Coturnix japonica: one gene and its partners. The protein of the gene in region 1 binds, or shares a complex with, the protein of each later gene. Links are inferred from orthologs where the notes say so. Each region holds a gene or a part of one and is shown in the gene's direction. Other genes may lie near its edges. The genes, in order: TUBGCP3, TUBGCP5, TUBGCP2, NME7 and MZT1.

Region 1 (3,513 bases):
TCCAGCAGATATCTGGGAAGTTCAAGTCCCCCCAGGAACAAGGGGAAGAGACCTTGAGACCTCACCCAACTGCCTATGAAGTGTCTTTTCCACATCTTCCTTGTTGGGTGGCCTATTGCAGACTCCCATGATAATATCAGTCTTATTGGCCTTTACTTTTATTCTGACCTGTAAGCTCTCAATCCTATCATCACCGTTGTTAATTTCCACACATTTGCATTCTTTCTTAACACAGAGAGCTACACCACTGTATTTCCTGCCTTGCTTAGTTCTTTTGAAACGTTGGTAGCCATCGATCATATCACTCCAGCTGTGCAAGTCATCCCGCCACTGGTGGCGCAGTGGTAGGAATGCCGCCTTGCAACACTGGAGGCCTTGGGTTCGAATCCCCTGTGGCGCAAGTGGTGGAAGTGCCGCTCTGCTACACAGGAGGCTCGAATCCCGGGGGTTGGACTCGATGATCTCTAAGGTCTCTTCCAACCTGCATGAGACTGATTCTGTGTGATACTGTGATTTCCCTGCTAGTGACTGTATCATAGCTTTCTGACCACACAGTGGCATCCAGCTCCTGTTTATTACGCATGCTGTGTGCATTAGGGTAAAAGCACCGGAGCTGGGCCACCTTTTGGGTGGGATAAGCCTTATATCTGCCTTTGGCTGTAATTCATCTTGAATGCCGTGTTGTTTGTAGGGAAGTGCAAATGGTTGGGTAGATGGTAGATATTGAATTATTGATAGCTTGCTCTGCTCTGGGGTGAGAGAGTCATACTGAATCACTTTCTGATGGGAAAGCGTGTACACATACAGACACACAGTTATGTATTTTACACTTGCCTGCCATCTTAATGATCTTTGAGGCAATTAAACATGTCTACTAGTTGTAAATGATGAGATTATTCCACTGACAGATATCTGAATTATATTACATTTAAGCACTACAGGTGGTGAAGTTATGTGATTTCCAGTGCAAATCTCTATGTGTGTTAGTATTAAATGTCGTCTAGTGTTAAACATGGAGGTTGATGGCCCTGTCTCTGATGGAGGGGTTGGGGCTTGATGATCCTTGAGGTCCCTTCCAACACGAGCCATTCTGTGATTCTATGGTGTAAAGAGTGGATTTCTTCGAAACATACTGTTAGTCACGTAGCAGGGTTAATCTGCAGCATTCTTTAATGGGATTGTAAGTTTTTGACTTGAGACCTTTCTCAAATGCCTCGTTAGGACATTTTAGAAACACTTAGCTAGGTGTCTGTGCTTTAATTAGTCTTGCTATAGCTAATGTTGACATAGAAAGTTAGGGAATTCTTTAATAGGGAAGCTCTGTTCCCTATTAAAGGAACACCCCCCACCCCCCTTTACTTCTTACTGTTGATAGCATATCTATTGTGTTTTCATTAGCCTGAGGACTTAAGTTTAAATCTCCAAAACTCCTTTCAGAAATCTCTGGGATCTTTCATCCTCCATATCTGTTCGTTTATGCACTCTGGCTGCAGTCTGGGCAGGAGGTGGTGCCTAATACTGCTAAAGCTGTGCTGGCAGACCAGGGAGAATGCTTAACTGCTGAGCTTATGCTGCACTCTGACCCTCCTCAGGCAAGGTTATTTGGAGGTTTGTTCTGCCAGCCCCCTCATGGAGACCTCAGGGAATTGTTTTTAATGTTGTTTTTCTTTTTTTTTAATGTAAAAGGTGCTAAGAGAGGATAATGGAGGTGGATGTAAAAGTTAATTTCTAAACATTATTTTCCTTAGGAACAATCACAGCAGTGTTTCCTGTGTGCAAGCTGAATTGCGTGACTGCGGCAAGTCCTGCATAGCTTTTCAGGCTGTAGGGCGTTGCAGAGCCTCTTGAAGTTTGCTGATGCTCTCTAATAGCATCAGGCCAAAGTGTCTCTTCAACCAGCAAAGCACAGGAAGTATTTATTGCATATGTTTAATTAGCAGAGTCTGTACAGGTGTGTTTGAAGTATTGTTAATCTCCCCCCCAGGATAGCATAGACTTCACTGCCCTCTGGTTAGAAGTGTATCTGAGGAATATAACAGAATCTGATCAAAGCTGAGTACGTTTATGCCAAATTCAGTCACAGCTATGTAATCTTGTGGGTTTTTTTTTCTCCTTCTTTTAATAGTACTTTATCAGTCTGCTTAATTGAGTGGGTTTCCCTTTGTTTTTTCAGCTGATGTAGCCCAGCAGTTCCAGTATGCAGTGAGAGTTATTGGAAGCAACTTTGCTCCTACTGTCGAACGGGATGAATTTCTTGTGGCGGAGAAAATCAAGAAAGAACGTACGTGTGTTTCTGTTTATTCCTCTGAAGGTGGAACTGTTCTGCCACATTTACCTAATACTGATTACTGCTCTTATTGCCTGTTCCTGAAAATCTTGTGATGGCAATTCTACGAATCCCCTAGTTACTCCTCCTGAGCTCAGATGCTTAGTTTAAATTTCCCTTGCTTCTGTGCAAGCCATTGACTTCCCATCTTAGCCACCATGGAAATAAAGAGCAATTTACATTTCATTCATTTTGTTATTATTCAGACTTCATAAATACATACTTCATTTTGGAAGACTGATGTTTTTGAGCTACACTTTGGCACAATTAACTTCATGAGCACATATGTGAATCTTAATGAATGAGCATTCTGGGGATGGATGGAATCATTGTTCATGCGGATTACCTGATATTTCTCGGCTTCTGTTTTCATAAACGTTTATTTACAACAGCCTTCCCAGAGCCAAAACATTAGACCGTGACAGTAAGTTACTGCAGTTATGTTCCACTCTGCTCTGTGCTGCTCTGAGTCAGGTGCTGAGCTCTTAATCCCATTGGACTATGAGGCATTCTTAAAAAGCCAAGTAATGCTTTCAGCAGACTCTCAGCTCAACGGTAGGATGTTCAGGAGCAGTTCCTGATTAAATTAAAGCTTCTATTTGTGCTCAGGAACTCTGAACATTTGGTCAGGATGATTGAATTAGAATCACTGAATTGTAACCTTTTAAAGTACTTGTGTATTTTTTGCTAATGCAAGGTTTCCATTACTTACTAACTGACAAATAAGCCCATCTAGAATTTCTCTAGATACAGCTGTAAAACCCTGTATTCTACAGTATACACTTCCTTTGTTGCTATAAGAGAAATGGTTACTGTTTACATTGGGTCATATCCCCTGCAAGAACTGTTGAGGCTGGGAATACAAGTAAGTGTGAAAAAACTCTCAGAAGTCTTGAGTAAGTAATGCAAAACAGTTGAGCATCATAATGCTTTCTTGGTTATGTTTTCCTATTTAACACAAAATGTATAGTTTCTAACATGACTATTATTCTTGTTCTAGTTCTTTTAATCTACATTTATCTCTTTCAGTTGTGCGACAAAGAAGGGAAGCAGATGCTGCTTTGTTTTCAGAACTCTACAGAAAGCTCGGTTCGCAGGTAGTGTAATAAACACGTGAAGAAACTGAAAGCACACTCAAATTCTTTTGATATTCTAGAGTTGTTTTAGATAGTCCTCAGATCATTAAC
Region 2 (3,513 bases), about 6.8 Mb from region 1:
TCCCCGCCTGGCACAGCTGAAGGTTCTTCACAAGGTTTTTAGCACAGGAGTAGCGGAAGTGCCACCTGACACTAGAAATGTTGTCCGAGCATCTCATCTGCTTAACACTCTTTACAAAGCTATTCTTGAATATGACAGTGTTGGAGAAGCATCTGAGCAAACGGTAGGCAAAATCATTCCTCCTTAATGAAATCACACTCTAGAATATTTGGTAACATAGATTTCATTCTACTGCCTGAGTACACTGTCCTTCAGCAACTGAGGACAAATCTGGTAGCCATAATGAATTACTGTTTTCTGATGAGTTCATTCAGACTACATACAAGATTCACAAGGAGATGAGCATTAGTGATAATGTCATAGATGTCACTGTGTCCTTTTTTTCACGTTTTCTGCACTATAAAGCCACGGTGTGTTACAGCTATCAGTTATCATTTAAAGGATGTCAGAGTAATGAAAGTTGCTGTTTGGGTCTAATTGCAATGACAGAAGTAATAAGGGGAAACTTGCACAATGCACGTCTCCGTTAATACCGCTAGTCCTGTAATTTTTAGTTGAATATTTTATCTTTGAAAAGTCTTGAAGTATAGCTAAGTATTAACTTACTATCATGCAATTAATCAGTTAGACTCTGCCATGTTGCTTGTAATACTTAAAAAGCTGATTTTTTACTTAATTCTTACTTAATTTTTTTCTTTCTTTAAATTCAGGTGTCCCTTCTGTTCTCTCTCTGGGTTGAGACTGTGAGGCCGTACTTACAGACAGTAGATGAGTGGATTGTCCACGGCAATTTGTTTGATCCTGCGAAGGAATTCATCATTCAGAGGTAGGGGCACTGGTGCTGGACACTCATAGTTTGAAAGTACTTCTTGACTGTTCTGAAAGAAAGGCAAAGCATAGAGCAAAGATGAAGAGAGGGGCAGGTCTCTTCTCACTAGTGACAAGTGACAGGACGAGGGGAAATGGCCTCAGGTTGCGTCAGGGCAAGTTTAGGTTGGATATTAGGAAGAACTTCTTTACAGAAACGGTAGTTAGGTACTGGAATAGGCTCCCCAGGGAGGTGGTTGAATCACCATCCCTGGTTTTGTTTAAGAGCCGTTTTGATGTGGTGCTCAGGGATATGATTTAGTGTAGGGTTGTTAGAGTTAGGGTACTATGGTAAGGCTGCGGTTGGACTTGATGATCTTCAAGGTCTTTTCCAACCTGGGTAATTCTATGATTCTATGAAGATAAACCTTCTGCTAAGGAAGTTTCACCTTTTAAAAAGGGAAATATTTAACACCTTTTATTTTTTTTTTCCCCCTACTTGACAGGAACAAAAACGTTCCAGTTGATCACAGAGATTTTTGGTATGCTACCTACACGTTATATAGTGTGTCAGAAAAGACAGAGAATGAAGAGAAGATGAGTGATAATGCCAGCGCCAGTTCTGGCAGTGATCAGGCCCCTTCAAGCAGGCAACACACTATGGTCTCTTTTCTGAAACCTGTGCTAAAGCAAATCATCATGGCTGGAAAATCCATGCAGCTGTTAAAGAATCTTCAATGCAAAGACGGCTCTCCACAGCAGGCTGCATCCAGGGGTGAGCTGTCAGTTGGTGGAGTATTGTGCCCTAGGGTACCTAACAGCATGGGAATATTTTATATAATGGTGTTTGTGATTACAGAGCAGTTTAATTGTCCTCTTTATATGTCAGTATCGTGGTTTGTAACTCCAGTTCTGATGGAAAACTTATTCTTCCAATGCAGTCAAGTGACAGGAACAAAGCGAACAATGATCAATGATCAATGATCAAGTACTCACTCAGGTACTTGACTCAGGTCTTGATGCTTCATATTTTCATGAACTTTTTTTTTACATGCTTTCAAAACATTTCATTTGTTATTAGACAAACACAGATAGTGATAATAAACAGTAAAACCGTGTTTTGATCTAATAAATAGTTGTTTTTCCTTATCAAGTGGTTGAGTAATTTCGAGGTAGCTTACAGAACTTCTTCAACAAAAAGAAGTTTACCAAATAATTAGATGAAACTTATACTGACATTTTTATGCATATCTATAGCCAGGTTACTATTTGAATGGTTGTAAACCACAGTGTAGCAGTGTAATCAATGTTAATTTTTTCTGGAGGAGATGAAACGTGCTTTTTCAGTCACACCATCTCTATGGGGTTAATAGGGATAGCTGAATTATGTTGGCATCTCTACAGGTTTGTTTCCCTCTGTAACATGGTTGTTTTAGGCGTTGAGAATTAATTGCCTTTATGTTTGAAGAAGTTCTCTTACAGGCTCTGATTAGCAGTGCCTGACTTGAAGTATTAGACTAAACACACTGATCCAGTGATATTTTGTTCTAAGTATGTACTTGAGAAGTAGCCTAAATTTAGTCTAAAATATGTTAAGTGTATGTTGGATTCTGCAGCTGCGCTTGTAGTTCAGGTGATACTTTCTCTTACGATGAAACCTTACCATGAAACATGTTGCCCAGTTTAGATGCTGAAAGAAAGAGTCTGTATACACTGTTCCTGGAATCTGTGCAGTCTCGCCTGAGGCATGGGGAAGAATCTGTTCCAGATATTATTACAGAGCAGCAGGCCACCAAGGAGAGCCTGATAAAGATGCAGTCTATAGCAGAAAGGCACTTGGAACTGGATGATGTCCATGACCCTCTGCTGGCTATTAATTTTGCCAGGTAAGTAAATACCCACTAGATGAATGATCTTCCTGCTGTGTTGTTGAGAGCAGTGTTCTGCTTAGTGACATTTGGTAAAGCTGATTTTTATTGCTGCTGCAGAAAACAAGCAAATAGAATAAAGAGGAGCACCCATAATCAGTGGCAGAATCTCAATAAATACCCTCCTGCTTAGTTAGAGGAAAAACAAATCAGCGAGGAATTGGCTGCTTACATTGGTTAGTATAGAAAATAGGTGCAAACACCTTTTATTTTGTGATCCTATTTTTTGAGCAGGGGTTCCAATTTTGATTAAAATTTTCTAAGGTATGACATTTTTCTTCTATATATTGTGTAAATTATATGTATTCTTCCCTAAGTATTTGTATTTTATGTAATTTTTAAGATTATATTTGGAGCAGAGCGACTTCCACGAGAAGTTTACTGGTGGGGATGTTTGTGTGGACAGATCCTCAGAATCGGTCACCTGCCAGACTTTTGAACTGACGCTGAGGTCTTGCCTTTATCCTCACATAGACAAGCAATACTTGGAGTGCTGTGGTAATCTAATGCAAACTTTAAAGAAGGATTATAGGTAAGAAAGTAACATGGTTAGCATTTCTAATTACCAATGTTTTGCCATATAAGTAAAAGCAGTAATTTTCTTCTAAAATTTTTATTGTTTTTCCTACAACAACTGAAACCTCAAGAAAATACATAACAAAAAAGGGGAAATCTAAGATGGTCACGAGTGAAACTTTGGAACACCTATTTTAAACCAGCAGCATTGTTGAACACCCACTGAAAACAGGGAAATTGTTTTGGACAGTATTTTTAATAG
Region 3 (4,201 bases), on another chromosome or scaffold:
GTTTCTGTTGGATGGACCACGCTGGCATCTCAAACTCAAAGTACAAGCATCCCTTTGCCAACTGGGATAGTTCAAGAAAGAACATGACGTTCTTAGAGGCCATTAAAGTGATCAATAAATGATTCAGGTGCTGCCTCAGTGACCTTTTGATCAGAAACTTTTGCCTGTGCAGGCATTTGGCTCAGACCTGGATTTATAGAGGCGTTTCTCTGGTACTGAAGGGCTGGCTGCAGGCTCTGTGCTCTCCATGGGTACTTCCATATGGTCCGTCTCGAGCTGCTCCGAGGTCTCCATGCTGACATCCATCAGCATGCTCCCATCATCTGTGGGACAGCTCACATGCTTGGTACCACTGCAGAAAGAAAACGTGACATCCATTCTCAGCAGCTGAAACGCGAGCAAGGAGCAAAGAAAATGAAAGGGATTTTAGAGGACTCTAGAAAGGAATGGGACAGCAGAGAAGCACATCACTTGAGCATGGAAAAAGCAGCTGTGCTGCTGCCATTCTGCAGTTACCTCTTCACTTTCTTTGGTCTATCAAATCGGAAGTCAGCAGGGTATAAGTGAGCAGTGACCAAGTGATCCTTCCTGTCTTTGCTGCACTTGAACTTCTCTGCACAGCCTTCTACCAAGCACTTGTACTGAAAGAAAGGAAAGAAAACACCCCCTGGGAAGGGTGAACAGCCAGTCCGTGTGGCAGCAGGGGCCGGGCCATGCCCTCACCATATTCTGCTTCTCAGCCATGATCTGGAAGAGCGAGTCGTGCCACTCGGAGATGTGGATGTCCAGAAGGTGCCCTGAAGGGAACGACCGCCTGCAGAAGGAGCAGACGTTGCGGTGCAGCACGTTGTAATGGTGCTCGTAGCCCTCAAGTGTATCGAACACCTGGGAGCAACCGGAGATGTGACAGCAGAACTCAGACACCCTGTAAGGGAAGGACAGCACATTAGTGCATCCTCAGCGTGTAGTATATTATACGTTTAAGCCTTATTACAAGGCTCTGCCCCAGATGCTCGGGTCCCTGTGAGCTCGCAGGGGGCCCAGCAGCTCCGTGTGCAGGGCAGGGTCTCAGTGGGGGCTCATCTCTTGTCCCATGCAGCTCACCTGGGCCTCTCCGCCTCCTCGGCGCGGCCCGTGAGCGCCTCCCGCAGGTACAGGTGTCTGTGCACGTCTCCATCCTGCAGCGGGGGGACATGGCAGTCATGGAGCAGCCTGGCCAACGGGCCGCCCGCCCCGCTTGGCTCGGCCTCACCTCGAGCAGGGGGTGCTGCGGGTCCAGGCGCAGGCGGCGCGGGCAGAAGGCGAAGGGAGCCCGCGGCGGGGCCGAGGCGGGCGGCGGGGCGGGGGGCAGCGGCGGGCGGTCCCGCAGGCGGCGGCGGAGAACGGAGAGCAGCATCGGACCGGACCGGGCCGCGCAGGCGCCCGTAGCACTTCCTGCGGCAACGGCGGCGGCTTCCGGGCGGGTAGGAGGGATGGAGCGGGATGGGGACGGAGAGGAGCCGCGGGACGGCGGGGTGTGGGGCGGCTGGATTCGTTCTGTGCGTCTGCTCTGGGTTCTGTGTGCGGGGAGCCGCTTAGAACCAGCCCGGTGTCGTCGTTTGTAACGCTGTGGTTCCGATCCGGACAGCAGGCCGCGCTGAATGCAGCCGGTCGGGTCGGCGCTCCACACTGAGGCCTCCCATAGTGTCTGGAAGGCAAAGAAGAGCTGCTGCCCACGCTTAGGCCTGGTCTGTAGCAGGGCAGTAGCGTGCAGGGTGAGGGGCTTGTCTTACAACTCCCATAAGTTTCTTTGTGCCCATCCAGCACACCCTATGGGCTTATAGTGCAGCGTTATTCTTGTGCTTACACCAAAGCACTAACGTAGCTCACTGCCTTTCTTCCTGTATCCAATGTTAGGTTGGATTTCATTCGCGCCATGAGTGAGTTCCGCATCCACCACGATGTCAACGAGCTGCTCAGCCTGCTGCGTGTGCACGGGGGTGAGGGGGCCGAGGTGTACATCGACCTGCTGCAGAAGAACCGCACGCCCTACGTCACCACCTCCGTGTCTGCTCACAGTGCTAAGGTGGGCCAGAGTAATGGCATTGCATTGGTCCCTCGCGGAGTTATCCATCCATCAGCTGAACATGAGCCAGCGTAGGTGACCATGAAGGCCGGTGGCATCCTGACTTGTATCAGAAACAGTGTAGTGGGCAGGATCAGGGAGGTAACTGTCCCTCTGTAGTTGACACTGAGGCTGCACCTTAATGCTGTGTTCAGTTTTGGAACCTTCACTACAAGAAAAACATGGACGCCCTGTAGTGTAAGGCAACAGTGCTGTGAGGGGTCTGGAGCACAAGTCTTGTGGAAGCAGCTGAGGGATATGAGATTATTTAGCCTCAAGGAGGCTCAGGGGAGACTTTACTGCTCTATAGCTCCCTGAAAGGAGGTTCTGGGAAGGTAGGTGTTGGTTTCTGCACCCAGATAACAGCAAAAGGTTGAGGTAATGGCTTTAAGTTGTGACAGGGGAAGTTCAGGTTGGGTATTAAGAAGAACTCAGAAGGAGTGATACATTCCAAATCAGTCCATCTTAATTATCAGTGCGAGGCCAGTGCCGCATTGTTCAGTCCAAGACCTATTCCCTGAAGCACTTTGCTGGCAGCAGTGGCCTGCACCTTGTTTCCCTCCTTGCACAATGCTCTGCTCTGGAATGCTGGAATGATAATCTACCTTAAACATTAAATATTCCTGTGGTCTTTTACAGGTAAAAATAGCAGAGTTTTCTAGAACTCCTGAAGACTTTTTAAAGAAATACGATGAACTGAAGTCTAAGAATACAAGACATTTAGATTCTTTGGTGTACCTGCTCTCAAAGCTCACAGAAGACAAAGAGGTTTGTTTCTGTGTTAGAACTGAGCATGTTATAACTCCTTGGTAGTAGCAACAATGCAGTGGTTTTAAATATGCACGCTGTCAGATTATAATATTCATTGGAATACAGCTTTGCTGCAGTGTGTGCTGACCAGTGCTCACAAAATTTCTTTTGTGTGTATACAGACACTCCAGTATTTGCAACAAAATGCTAAAGAAAGGGCGGAACTCACAGCAAACGTGGCAGCTGGTGGCAGCACAAATTTCTCCATCCCCTCATCTACTTCCAAGATTTCTCTGCAGGAACTTGAGGAGCTGCGCAAGCAGCTTGGCACCGTCACAGCCAACTCCAGCGCACAGCAGGTACTGCCCCTCACCTTACATGTGAGATCTTTCCCAGCTGTTGGTATGTAGCTGTGCTCTTAACTTTTGACATCTAGGGGAACTGCAGATATTACTATCCATCTAAATCTGCTCTCAGAATGGTGCTAGTCAAATTATATTAAATCATTGTGCTGTTATTCCAAAAAGTGGCCTTTTTATTGAAGTCAGGTAAGGTCAGGCGAGTTTAGGCCACAGCAGTTCTCACTGGGGCATAGTGACCTTCAATGAGAAGAAAATAAAATGACCCTCTGCAGATCCCATTTCACATACATGTGGAGCTTAAGAAATGGCTTTCATAAGCATGTCCCCTTTTGGCAGCTATGGAAAGCATGGCGCTTTTGGCAATTATGTAGGTTATACATCACCTCTCCAGCTGAAAATTAGTCTTTCACCATAATTATTTTACTGACAGAGATCCAGAGCCATGAGTGGAGACTGTTATGGTCTTGTAAAAGCTCACTTCCTTCACAATCAGAGCAAAACCACTGTCATTTTCCACTGGTGTATTATCTTGATGGCATTTCATGTGCAGCTACTCCACGGGCAGTGTGCTGAAACTGATTTCAGAGGTGGTCATTAGCCTGTTTGCAAGTGCTCCTTGGATAAGATGTTGCTGCTTTCTTCTTCTGGAATTAATTTGTTGGCTTTTACATGGTGGAGTTTGCAAACTAATAAGGTGACTGGAGCTTGTAAGCGTCCCGGTTTTGCTCCTGTGTGTATGCCACAGCACCAAGGCTGGTGGGAGGGGTATGACAAGGCATTATGTGATGCATCTGCCAATAAGAAGATGGCCAACTATATAAAATTCACCTCTGCAGCACTGAGACCAGTAGCCTGAATGAAACCAAGAGAGTACACCTACACTTGTTCTACTGAAATATCAATTATTCCACTTTCTATTCTCAAATTATCGGTTTACAGTCAGTTTCTCCTTCTTCATTCTTCTCTCTTTTTCTTTTTTTTCTCA
Region 4 (3,513 bases), about 49 Mb from region 1:
GGAGAATTTCAGTCAGAAAAGTCTTTAATTCTGGCAGTTGACCAATGTCTTTGTGCTCAAATGGGGAGGTTTCTCTTCGTTTGTGTGCTGCAGTTACTGTTGTGCCAGCTTTTTGCCTGAGAGTGTAGGAGACAGTATCTATTAACGTAAGATTCTGACTATAAATTTAATTATTTGCTTTGGTTTAAGTTGGTAGCTCTTTTTACATTTCAGCAGTTTGAAGGCTCTGCTCATCTGTGGTATTTTTATGACCAACATTATTATATTGCTGAACTTTGGCAGATGTAGGCATCCTTGTGGTGTTACCAATACCCATCTCTGGTAAGATAACTGAAATTGTGAATTTAATAGGCCTCTACCTACTTTAATGTAGTAGGTGCAGAACTATATATTTGTATAGCAGCTGGAAACTAGTTGGTTGCAGTTAGAACAGGACATTGCAGTGACAAATGAAAGTAGGCCTCTGGTGTACTTCTAAGGTTATTTCTCTTTCTGCAGGACCATTTTTAATTTTTTTTTTTTCATATTAGGCATAAATAAAAAATACTTTCTTTTTAAAACATCACTTGAATTTTGTTTAGCATTTCATTATCCTTCAGCATTATTTAGACACTTTTCTCTTCTGGCATTTAATGGACCAAAGAAAGTGTTAGATGCTTTAAGTACCTTGCTAACTTTTCCTGGCTACTGCTTTTAGAGTGAACATTAGTTAACAGAATGGGACAAGGTCAAAGAGGGATGCAGCATGTCCTCAGAAGAAGGGTGCAGGAAACTAACACTCATGAGCACTCAAGATGGGCATTGTTTGCTAGGTGGGAAAAAACACAGAAAACAAAAACACTTCGCCTTCCTTCCTGTTGAATGATCCCTGAGTGAGAACTGTGTAATTGTTCAAGTCAGGATTACAGGAATTGCCAGAATAAAGTGAGGAGAAGATTGAGAAATAGTTAAGTTTATTCTGTCTGAACTGAGCTAGTAAATTAAATGAGACAATGCCAGGAAATGGCCTTCAGCGCTGTTAGTGTTACACATGAAAAAAAAAAATTAGATGGATTTGGTAGAAGTATCTCCAGGTTATTATTATTTCCCTTAAATAGAAATTCATCAATTCTCTTACTTAATTTGACCAATAGGTCTTAAATGGAATCTGCATTTCGAGCATTTGACTAATGTTTATTGGCAGATTGTGTAAGCTATGTGAATAAATGGTATGGAAAAAGCATGAAGCTGGCAGTGAGCAATAAAAATAAATAAATAAAATCACTGAGGAAAGAAGCTTGTGTGTCCAGCTTACTGTGGTCTAAGACCAAATAGTGATGGAAGGAGGAAAGGAAGTAATGGGAAACAAAGAGGCAAAGAGGTTCTTCTGATTCTTCTCAGAAATTAGGGTAACTGAGCCCATCTTCCATTCACTAAGGCTGAAGGGGGGAAAAAAGAAAAGAGGGGTAGGAGTCCATAAGTCATGAGAGTGGAGCCAACAATTTTAGGCGAAGGTTTTTTAATACAAAAGGGGGAAAAAAAGGTTGTAAATGAGTGGGATGGAGATTGGTTTTTGTATCAGGGAAAGCTGGGTGCTCATTGTGTTATTGCTTAAGTGGAGGAAAACATGTTGTGAAAAGAGAGAAGCTAAAAATCTGTACATGGAAGTAGACCTGGGAAAAATACTGAGGAAAGGGAATTTAGAAATCTGGGGATACTTCATCTGCCAAATGATTGTGGCTGAATGGAAATAGATTGTATTGTGAAAGCAGAAAGGGAAATTACAAGAAATATTCAAATGAAGTTTTTATGATGGCAGCAGTGTTGCCAGGGTTGGAAAGATGTGTAGAATATTGTAGGGGAGATGTATTTGTAGCACAAAAATCAATAGTTTTCTGTAACTATGAGTACTTCAGATGTCGTTACTTAGGATGGAAGCTTATGCATGCAGCTAGATAAAAACTAAAGTGAATTCAATTACAATTGTTTTCAGGAGCTGGAGTTCTTCTTTCCCTCCAGTGGAGGTCACGGACCAGCCAACAGCGCAAAGTTCACAAACTGTACTTGCTGCATTATTAAGCCTCATGCAGTTAATGAAGGTAAGGAATATGAATAGTGGAGGTAAAAGAAAATTATGCTTTGTTCTGTTTCATGGTCATTCTTATGCTTTTTTTTTTTGTGTGTGTGAAAATGTGAAATAGTAGGAACACAGAGTATTTAATTGTACTTGCAAGAGTATGCAAATCCTTTTCCATACACCTTTAGTATTTCTTCAATTTACTTTCATGGGTTGTGTGCTGTGTGGATAATTTTAATTTCAGAATAAACAGTAAGAGACTGGAAAAAGAAATACAAAAAATTATAAATGAGATTAATTTAATCTCATTTAAGCTGTGATAACTGTATCCTTACTCCTATCTGTCTACAACACTCTAGTGGAGGTTAGCTTCCTCATGGCAGGGTGAAAGCAGGACACCTGGTTGTGTTACAAGGTCTTCCATTTACGCAGTAACATATTACATTAGAACTTCTTACAAAGGGACATTTTTTTCCCATACATGAATCTTGTTCTGCTGATTGCTGTGGGGATGGAAAGTAGTAAACATTTGTAGGACTCCATAGTTCTTTCTGTGCTGGAGCATATCCTGCAAGTTTACTGTATGAGCATTAGACAAGTGTAATGCCCAATTGTTACCCTGCTGAAATAACCTTGCTTTTGTAACATGTACTTAGAAACAGGAGCATGTGTAAGAGCAGTAGTAAGCGCAGTAAAATATTTCAGTTCTGGCATCTCAACAATATTTCTGAGTGTGAAATAAATATTGTCAAGTGAGCATGTCTAGACTTTTCTTGGTCAGATGCAGCACACTAGTCATGTCTCTATGGACAACTAAGATGGAGACAGCAGAAGAAATGGCCATAGGTTTCCAGACCTTTCACACCTGAAATAGGAGACTTCAGGCAGACTTCTTTGTGATAGGATTGTTAGTGTCCTTAATTGTTCAAAATTGCAAAAAAGCTGGAGTGGTTCCAGCCAACAGTTAGAAACGAGTGAAATCCATCTTCACAAAGGCTGCAGGAACTCTTCCCAGCAGTCCAAGAGTGTCACAGGGAGAAAGATTTGGTTATCTTTGCCTCCTTCTGTAGTCCTTACTCTTGTTCTCCTCTTTAGTCTGTTGCAGAGTGGCAACACCTGCTATGCTTGGTCCTTCTTCCCCATAGAGATTGTTTTGGAGTCAGGTAGAAGCATGCTGAAAGAATCTGGGTGACCCATTCATGTGAATGTGGCCCTGCTCATCTTATCTGTCTTCTAACAGCTATTAGTAACTGTGTTTGGTGATACCTGAGACCATCTGTTTGTGCCAGCAACATCTTCTGTAGCTCAATTAGAGTAGGTGCTATAGCAACTAATGAGCTTCCCTTCAGGTAAAATTGCTGGTAGGAGACTGTGTGGTATAAAAAAAATAAGCAACTTACTTTCCCTTTCTCCCCACTTGTGGACAACAAAACAGCAAAACAGTTGTCCACTCCTGT
Region 5 (4,044 bases), about 16 Mb from region 1:
ATCGAAATAATACAGCAACCTTCCTTTTACTTTACATTTCAAAGGAGACAGAGGACAGTCTAGAAGCAGGCCACAAAGGGCACTGTCAGGCATAGATCATAAGATCCAGTTTGGGAACAAAGCAGTCTCATCCATTGAAGTAGCACTTCAGTACAAAATAGTGAGCAAGTAGCACTTAGAAAAACGATCTAACAAAACACTGTCTTTTTAATCTCATTATCAAGGTGCGAAGACCAAATTACAGCGTTAGCATTAAAAGAAGCTTACTGAGGTAAATGAAAGAACCACAAAACACCCCAAGTTCTTTGGGTTTGCATACATTAAATCAAGTAAATACACTGTGTTACGTGTTTTTATGTGTCGGCACTACATAGAACAGAAAATGAGCTCTTACAGATGAAGATTTTGTTGATTTGAAGACGGAAGGACTGGAGACAATCTGCTCCTGAAGGGTGCAATAATCGCTGGGGCTTTCGAAAGGATTCAGAACTGTGACCCGCCCAGGAGTTTCGGGGCTGATCTGCATTTGGGCTTCTTCTGTATCGCCCATAGCAGTGAAGCTGTGCCTGGGGAAGAGAAACAGAAGGAAATGTGAGGGGAGGAAATTACCATTCTGACTCGTTAGGGTCATTCTAAGAATTTCAACCCATGACCGGTCATTCAGAAGAGACAGAAAACTCATAACGGCAAAGCAGATTTTGGCTTGGACCAGTGAGAAGCAGATAAACGAGGCTGGTACAAAGACGGAGCCTAGAAAGCAAAGCCAAAGGAAACGAGGTACTGGAAACCAGCATGGAGGAAACCAATCGCGTTCGTGCCAGGTGCTCCCGTACCGAACGGCGGGGCCTCAGAGGAGTTGTCAGCCCCACAGCGAGGCGGCTCCCCGCTCCTCACAGGCCGAGGAACGCACACAGCGAGCAGCAGAGGCCTAAAGCCACGTATTCACGGGACAGCTGTACCAAGGGCCGCCACCACGCCACCACCCCCCCACTCCTCAGGCCCAGCTACCGAAGCCCCGCTGCCGCGACGCGCACTCATACCCGACTCCAATTAAAACTGCCCGCCTCCGCCGAGCCGGGCGGCTCTTTAACCACCTCCCGCCCCTTCCCGAATTCTGCCCAATCAACGCGCGCCGCAGCCGCCGGCGAACCAATCGTAGGCTCCCCTCCGCTCACGAACGGGCCAATCGCATGCAGAGCCGCTGCACAAATTCGAACGTTAGCCCGCCCCCCACCTTCCTGCTGTGAGCGGGAGGTTCCGCTTGGGCCTGGTGCGGAGTCCCGGAATCACGTGAGGTTGGGGTCGCTCCTTCTGCTTCCGGGTGGGCGGTCGCCATGGCGAGCAATGCCGCCAGCCTCAACGCCGTGAGGGAGACGATGGACGGTACGAGGGAGGGGCGGGAGGGGCCAGTGGGGTTGGGGATGCGGCACTTGTTTGTAGATACATTGGTTTGCTTGAGGTTCCATAACTGCCACTTCCATGCTGTACAGTAGAAATTCAGCTTTGATTAATAACTTCTTTGATCGCTGTTGGGGCTAATTTGCTTTCTTTTTCCTTGCAGTTCTGTTTGAGATTTCAAGAATATTAAATACTGGGTTGGATATGGAGACCTTGTCTATTTGTGTGCGGCTTTGTGAGCAAGGCATCAACCCAGAAGCACTGTCTTCTGTCATTAAAGAACTGCGTAAGGCTACAGAAGCTCTAAAGGTAATGCCATTCCCTAAAAAGCACACGGTTTTAAAAGAATCAAATCTTTGGTTCAATTTGCTGTGCTTCTTTTCCTTTAAAATTAAGAAAAAAATCAACAAAACAGATTTCTCTTCTTGGTGCTTTCAGCCACTATTTCCCTTTATCTGCTTCATGTCCTGACTGGACTGTAGCTTTCTTCTTCAGCCCATATCAGCTCCTTATACACCCTCAGGCCTCATAGTATGTATCACAGAATTATCAAGGTTGGAAAAAGACCTAGAAGATCATCCAGTCCAACCATTACCAATACTTCCCAGCTAAATCATATTCATCAACACAACATCCAAATGTTTCTTGAACACTCCCATGGTTGGTGACTCCACCACCTCCCTGGCAGTGCATTCCAATGCCTGACTACCCTTTCTGTAGCAACACTTGTGAACAAGTTCATGAAGCTGTTGTGGCTAACAGTCTCCACACATTGCTGTCACCTCATTAACCTGTGCTTTACGTCTCTCCAAAGACAAATCACAGCATTTCATGGTGTGTGTGCATTGTAAGTACTAAAGTATAAAAAGCCACATGTAACTATTTGGTTAATAGGGAAAATAACTATAGTTAAAAAATTCTCATTTGCCCTTTAAAGGATTTTGATGCTTTGCTGTCTACCTAACCATCATGATTCCTTCTCCACTACATCTTATGTTGTTTATTTATCTGTTTTTGAAGGCTATGTTCTGATTCTTAAAGAACTCAGCTTTCAGATTTTACAATCAGACTTTTTTTTTGCATAATTTAAATTTTTATTTTATTTTTTTATAATTTCAAACTCTTCTATACTTGTGTGTATTTTTTATTTGTGTATGTGCTTAAATGTGTGTACACAAGCTTAATTGTGCATATACATTGTTGAGGGATGTTCTATTTCTTTTCTATTTTTTATGTCTTACTTGTGTTGCTTTCATTTCTCTTTTTATCTCATATCTGGGCTTCAAATCTACAACATAAATGATGTCTGCTTTTGGTGACAAATTTTTTTTTTTCCCTAGGCTGCTGAAAATATGACAAGCTGATGTGATAGAATCCTTCTTCATGAGAAGAGTTCGAAGTTGTAGAGCTGATAAAGAATTTGAACATTGGCTGCTACTTAGAAATACGAAGTCAAATTATATCTGGAGGTTTCAGAGTATCTCTAAGTCATCTTGAAAAAGGCAATGTATGGAAGAGCTTAAAGTTGGGTTTTCTTAAATAGGCCCACCAGTAATCTTACCACACTTGAATACTTGGTTATTTTTATGAACCAGGGGTGAATTTTAGTGTAACTGCCCTTCAGCATGTAGGATTTTTAAACAGTGTCAGAGATTGAAGGTTTGCTGAAATTACTAGTGTGTAACAGTGAATGTTATCACGAATATGGCTTGTTAACGCATTCTTTAGAAGTGCTATTGTGTTCTGTTTATTCCTGTTGTACTAGTGTGAAAATATGTGGATGCTTTTATCTGTGGTAAAGGTAGGAAAGAAGTCCCTATTGAGCTGATTTTAATTAGAGTACAGATGATGACTTAAATGACTTAAGTCATGTTCTGAAAGTAAGAAATAAAGCACTTTTGATTATCAAGATAATGACTTGTCCTTCTAATTCTGTTGGAAAAAGAGTTTTTAACTTGTTTTAGAAAGGAATTTGGATGTATGTAAATTTGACATGTAGATAACGTGGAATATCAAATGCTGTTTGCGTATGTTCTGAACACTCAACCTGAAAATATTAAGCATATATTGTTAATTACTAGTCAAAGCATCTTACAAGTAGGGGCTGATTTAGTTGTGTTAAACAGTCACTTGGTGTAGGGGAGTCTTCTCCTTCAGCACAAACAATATCCACTGATGCAAAAACAAATCTTTCTAGTGTATGCATTAAGCTACTGAACAAATTATCATTCAGTGAATCTTTTGCATCCAGGAGTTATGCTTCTTCATAGGAAGAAAATTTTCTTGTGTTTGTCCTCTGCTGCTGTTTTAGCTTTTCCAATTTTTTGTTAGACTGTTTTCTAAGTAGTGGTGTTAATAGAACCCAAAGCAGGCTGACAGGGGAAGCACACGTAATAAAGATTCAAGGTTCATCTTTTGTGCGGACGGAAAAGTTCTTTTGAGTTTACATCACACATTACTCTATCTGGGTCACAGCTTTAGAAAACATGATAAATATCTTTTATTTCCTATTACTCTGGCCAAGAAATCACTCCAGAAAGGTGTAGAATCTGTGTTAAAACTTCTGAATACTGTGTGTAATGTTTTCAAAAGTATTAAAGAATCTACTGTATGGAAAGATTGACAATAAATGTATCCTAGAAAAAT

Evidence for each region.
Region 2: TUBGCP3 (region 1) and TUBGCP5 share a complex: the UniProt entries of both Homo sapiens proteins name them as parts of the gamma-tubulin ring complex. The link is inferred for Coturnix japonica from reciprocal best matches to the Homo sapiens genes TUBGCP3 and TUBGCP5.
Region 3: the proteins of TUBGCP3 (region 1) and TUBGCP2 are in contact, whole or in part, in a cryo-EM structure (PDB 8Q62), measured with the Homo sapiens proteins. The link is inferred for Coturnix japonica from reciprocal best matches to the Homo sapiens genes TUBGCP3 and TUBGCP2. Residues at the interface, in NP_006313.1 of Homo sapiens: Glu272, Asn273, Cys274, Ser286, Leu287, Asp289, Thr290, Val292, Arg293, Glu296, Trp299, Ser361, Thr363, Leu364, Arg365, Leu368, Val369, Tyr372, Lys375, Ile376, Lys379, Ala382, Ala383, Asp386, His387, Ala402, Tyr403, Lys405, Thr406, Gly407; in NP_006650.1 of Homo sapiens: Gln172, His173, Pro175, Ile176, Phe177, Pro178, Trp180, Arg184, Ala186, Leu187, Ile188, Gly189, Phe191, Leu222, Tyr223, Val226, Val228, Asp229, Gly230, Arg231, Glu278, Ser281, Phe283, Gln287, His290, Ala291, Ala294, Arg297, Val300, Lys301.
Region 4: TUBGCP3 (region 1) and NME7 share a complex: the UniProt entries of both Homo sapiens proteins name them as parts of the gamma-tubulin ring complex. The link is inferred for Coturnix japonica from reciprocal best matches to the Homo sapiens genes TUBGCP3 and NME7.
Region 5: the proteins of TUBGCP3 (region 1) and MZT1 are in contact, whole or in part, in a cryo-EM structure (PDB 7QJD), measured with the Homo sapiens proteins. The link is inferred for Coturnix japonica from reciprocal best matches to the Homo sapiens genes TUBGCP3 and MZT1. Residues at the interface, in NP_006313.1 of Homo sapiens: Lys7, Pro9, Leu12, Leu13, Asn15, Leu16, Cys17, Arg19, Ile20, Leu21, Arg23, Val28, Gln31, Tyr34, Ala35, Val38, Ile39, Asn42, Phe43, Ala44, Pro45, Thr46, Ile58, Leu62, Arg67, Asp70, Phe74, Leu77, Lys80, Leu81; in NP_001065243.1 of Homo sapiens: Asn17, Ala20, Val21, Glu23, Thr24, Val27, Leu28, Glu30, Ile31, Ser32, Arg33, Ile34, Leu35, Asn36, Thr37, Leu39, Asp40, Glu42, Thr43, Ile46, Cys47, Val48, Arg49, Leu50, Cys51, Glu52, Gln53, Gly54, Ile55, Asn56.

What each region holds. Positions count from the first base shown.
Region 1 is NC_029516.1:124,246,800-124,250,312, forward strand, and holds part of TUBGCP3 (gamma-tubulin complex component 3), read left to right. Parts: intron 1-2,173; coding exon 2,174-2,281; intron 2,282-3,355; coding exon 3,356-3,423; intron 3,424-3,513. UniProt on the Homo sapiens protein: Component of the gamma-tubulin ring complex (gTuRC) which mediates microtubule nucleation.
Region 2 is NC_029516.1:117,464,989-117,468,501, forward strand, and holds part of TUBGCP5 (gamma-tubulin complex component 5), read left to right. Parts: coding exon 1-163; intron 164-710; coding exon 711-826; intron 827-1,313; coding exon 1,314-1,582; intron 1,583-2,494; coding exon 2,495-2,693; intron 2,694-3,078; coding exon 3,079-3,267; intron 3,268-3,513. UniProt on the Homo sapiens protein: Component of the gamma-tubulin ring complex (gTuRC) which mediates microtubule nucleation.
Region 3 is NC_029521.1:5,966,145-5,970,345, forward strand, and holds the start of TUBGCP2 (gamma-tubulin complex component 2), read left to right. Parts: upstream 1-1,396; 5' UTR 1,397-1,463; intron 1,464-1,469; exon of another isoform or gene 1,470-1,754; intron 1,755-1,896; 5' UTR 1,897-1,915; coding exon 1,916-2,065; intron 2,066-2,743; coding exon 2,744-2,872; intron 2,873-3,036; coding exon 3,037-3,213; intron 3,214-4,201. Other genes in the region: ZNF511 (zinc finger protein 511), read right to left, coding at 188-352, 517-641, 724-925, 1,105-1,178, 1,253-1,396. UniProt on the Homo sapiens protein: Component of the gamma-tubulin ring complex (gTuRC) which mediates microtubule nucleation.
Region 4 is NC_029516.1:74,987,362-74,990,874, forward strand, and holds part of NME7 (nucleoside diphosphate kinase 7), read left to right. Parts: intron 1-1,972; coding exon 1,973-2,078; intron 2,079-3,513. UniProt on the Homo sapiens protein: Possesses an intrinsic kinase activity. Displays 3'-5' exonuclease activity with a preference for single-stranded DNA. Does not seem to have nucleoside diphosphate kinase activity.
Region 5 is NC_029516.1:140,208,959-140,213,002, forward strand, and holds the start of MZT1 (mitotic-spindle organizing protein 1), read left to right. Parts: upstream 1-1,233; 5' UTR 1,234-1,334; coding exon 1,335-1,383; intron 1,384-1,561; coding exon 1,562-1,707; intron 1,708-2,738; coding exon 2,739-2,762; 3' UTR 2,763-4,044. Other genes in the region: BORA (protein aurora borealis), read right to left, coding at 395-550. UniProt on the Homo sapiens protein: Required for the recruitment and the assembly of the gamma-tubulin ring complex (gTuRC) at the centrosome.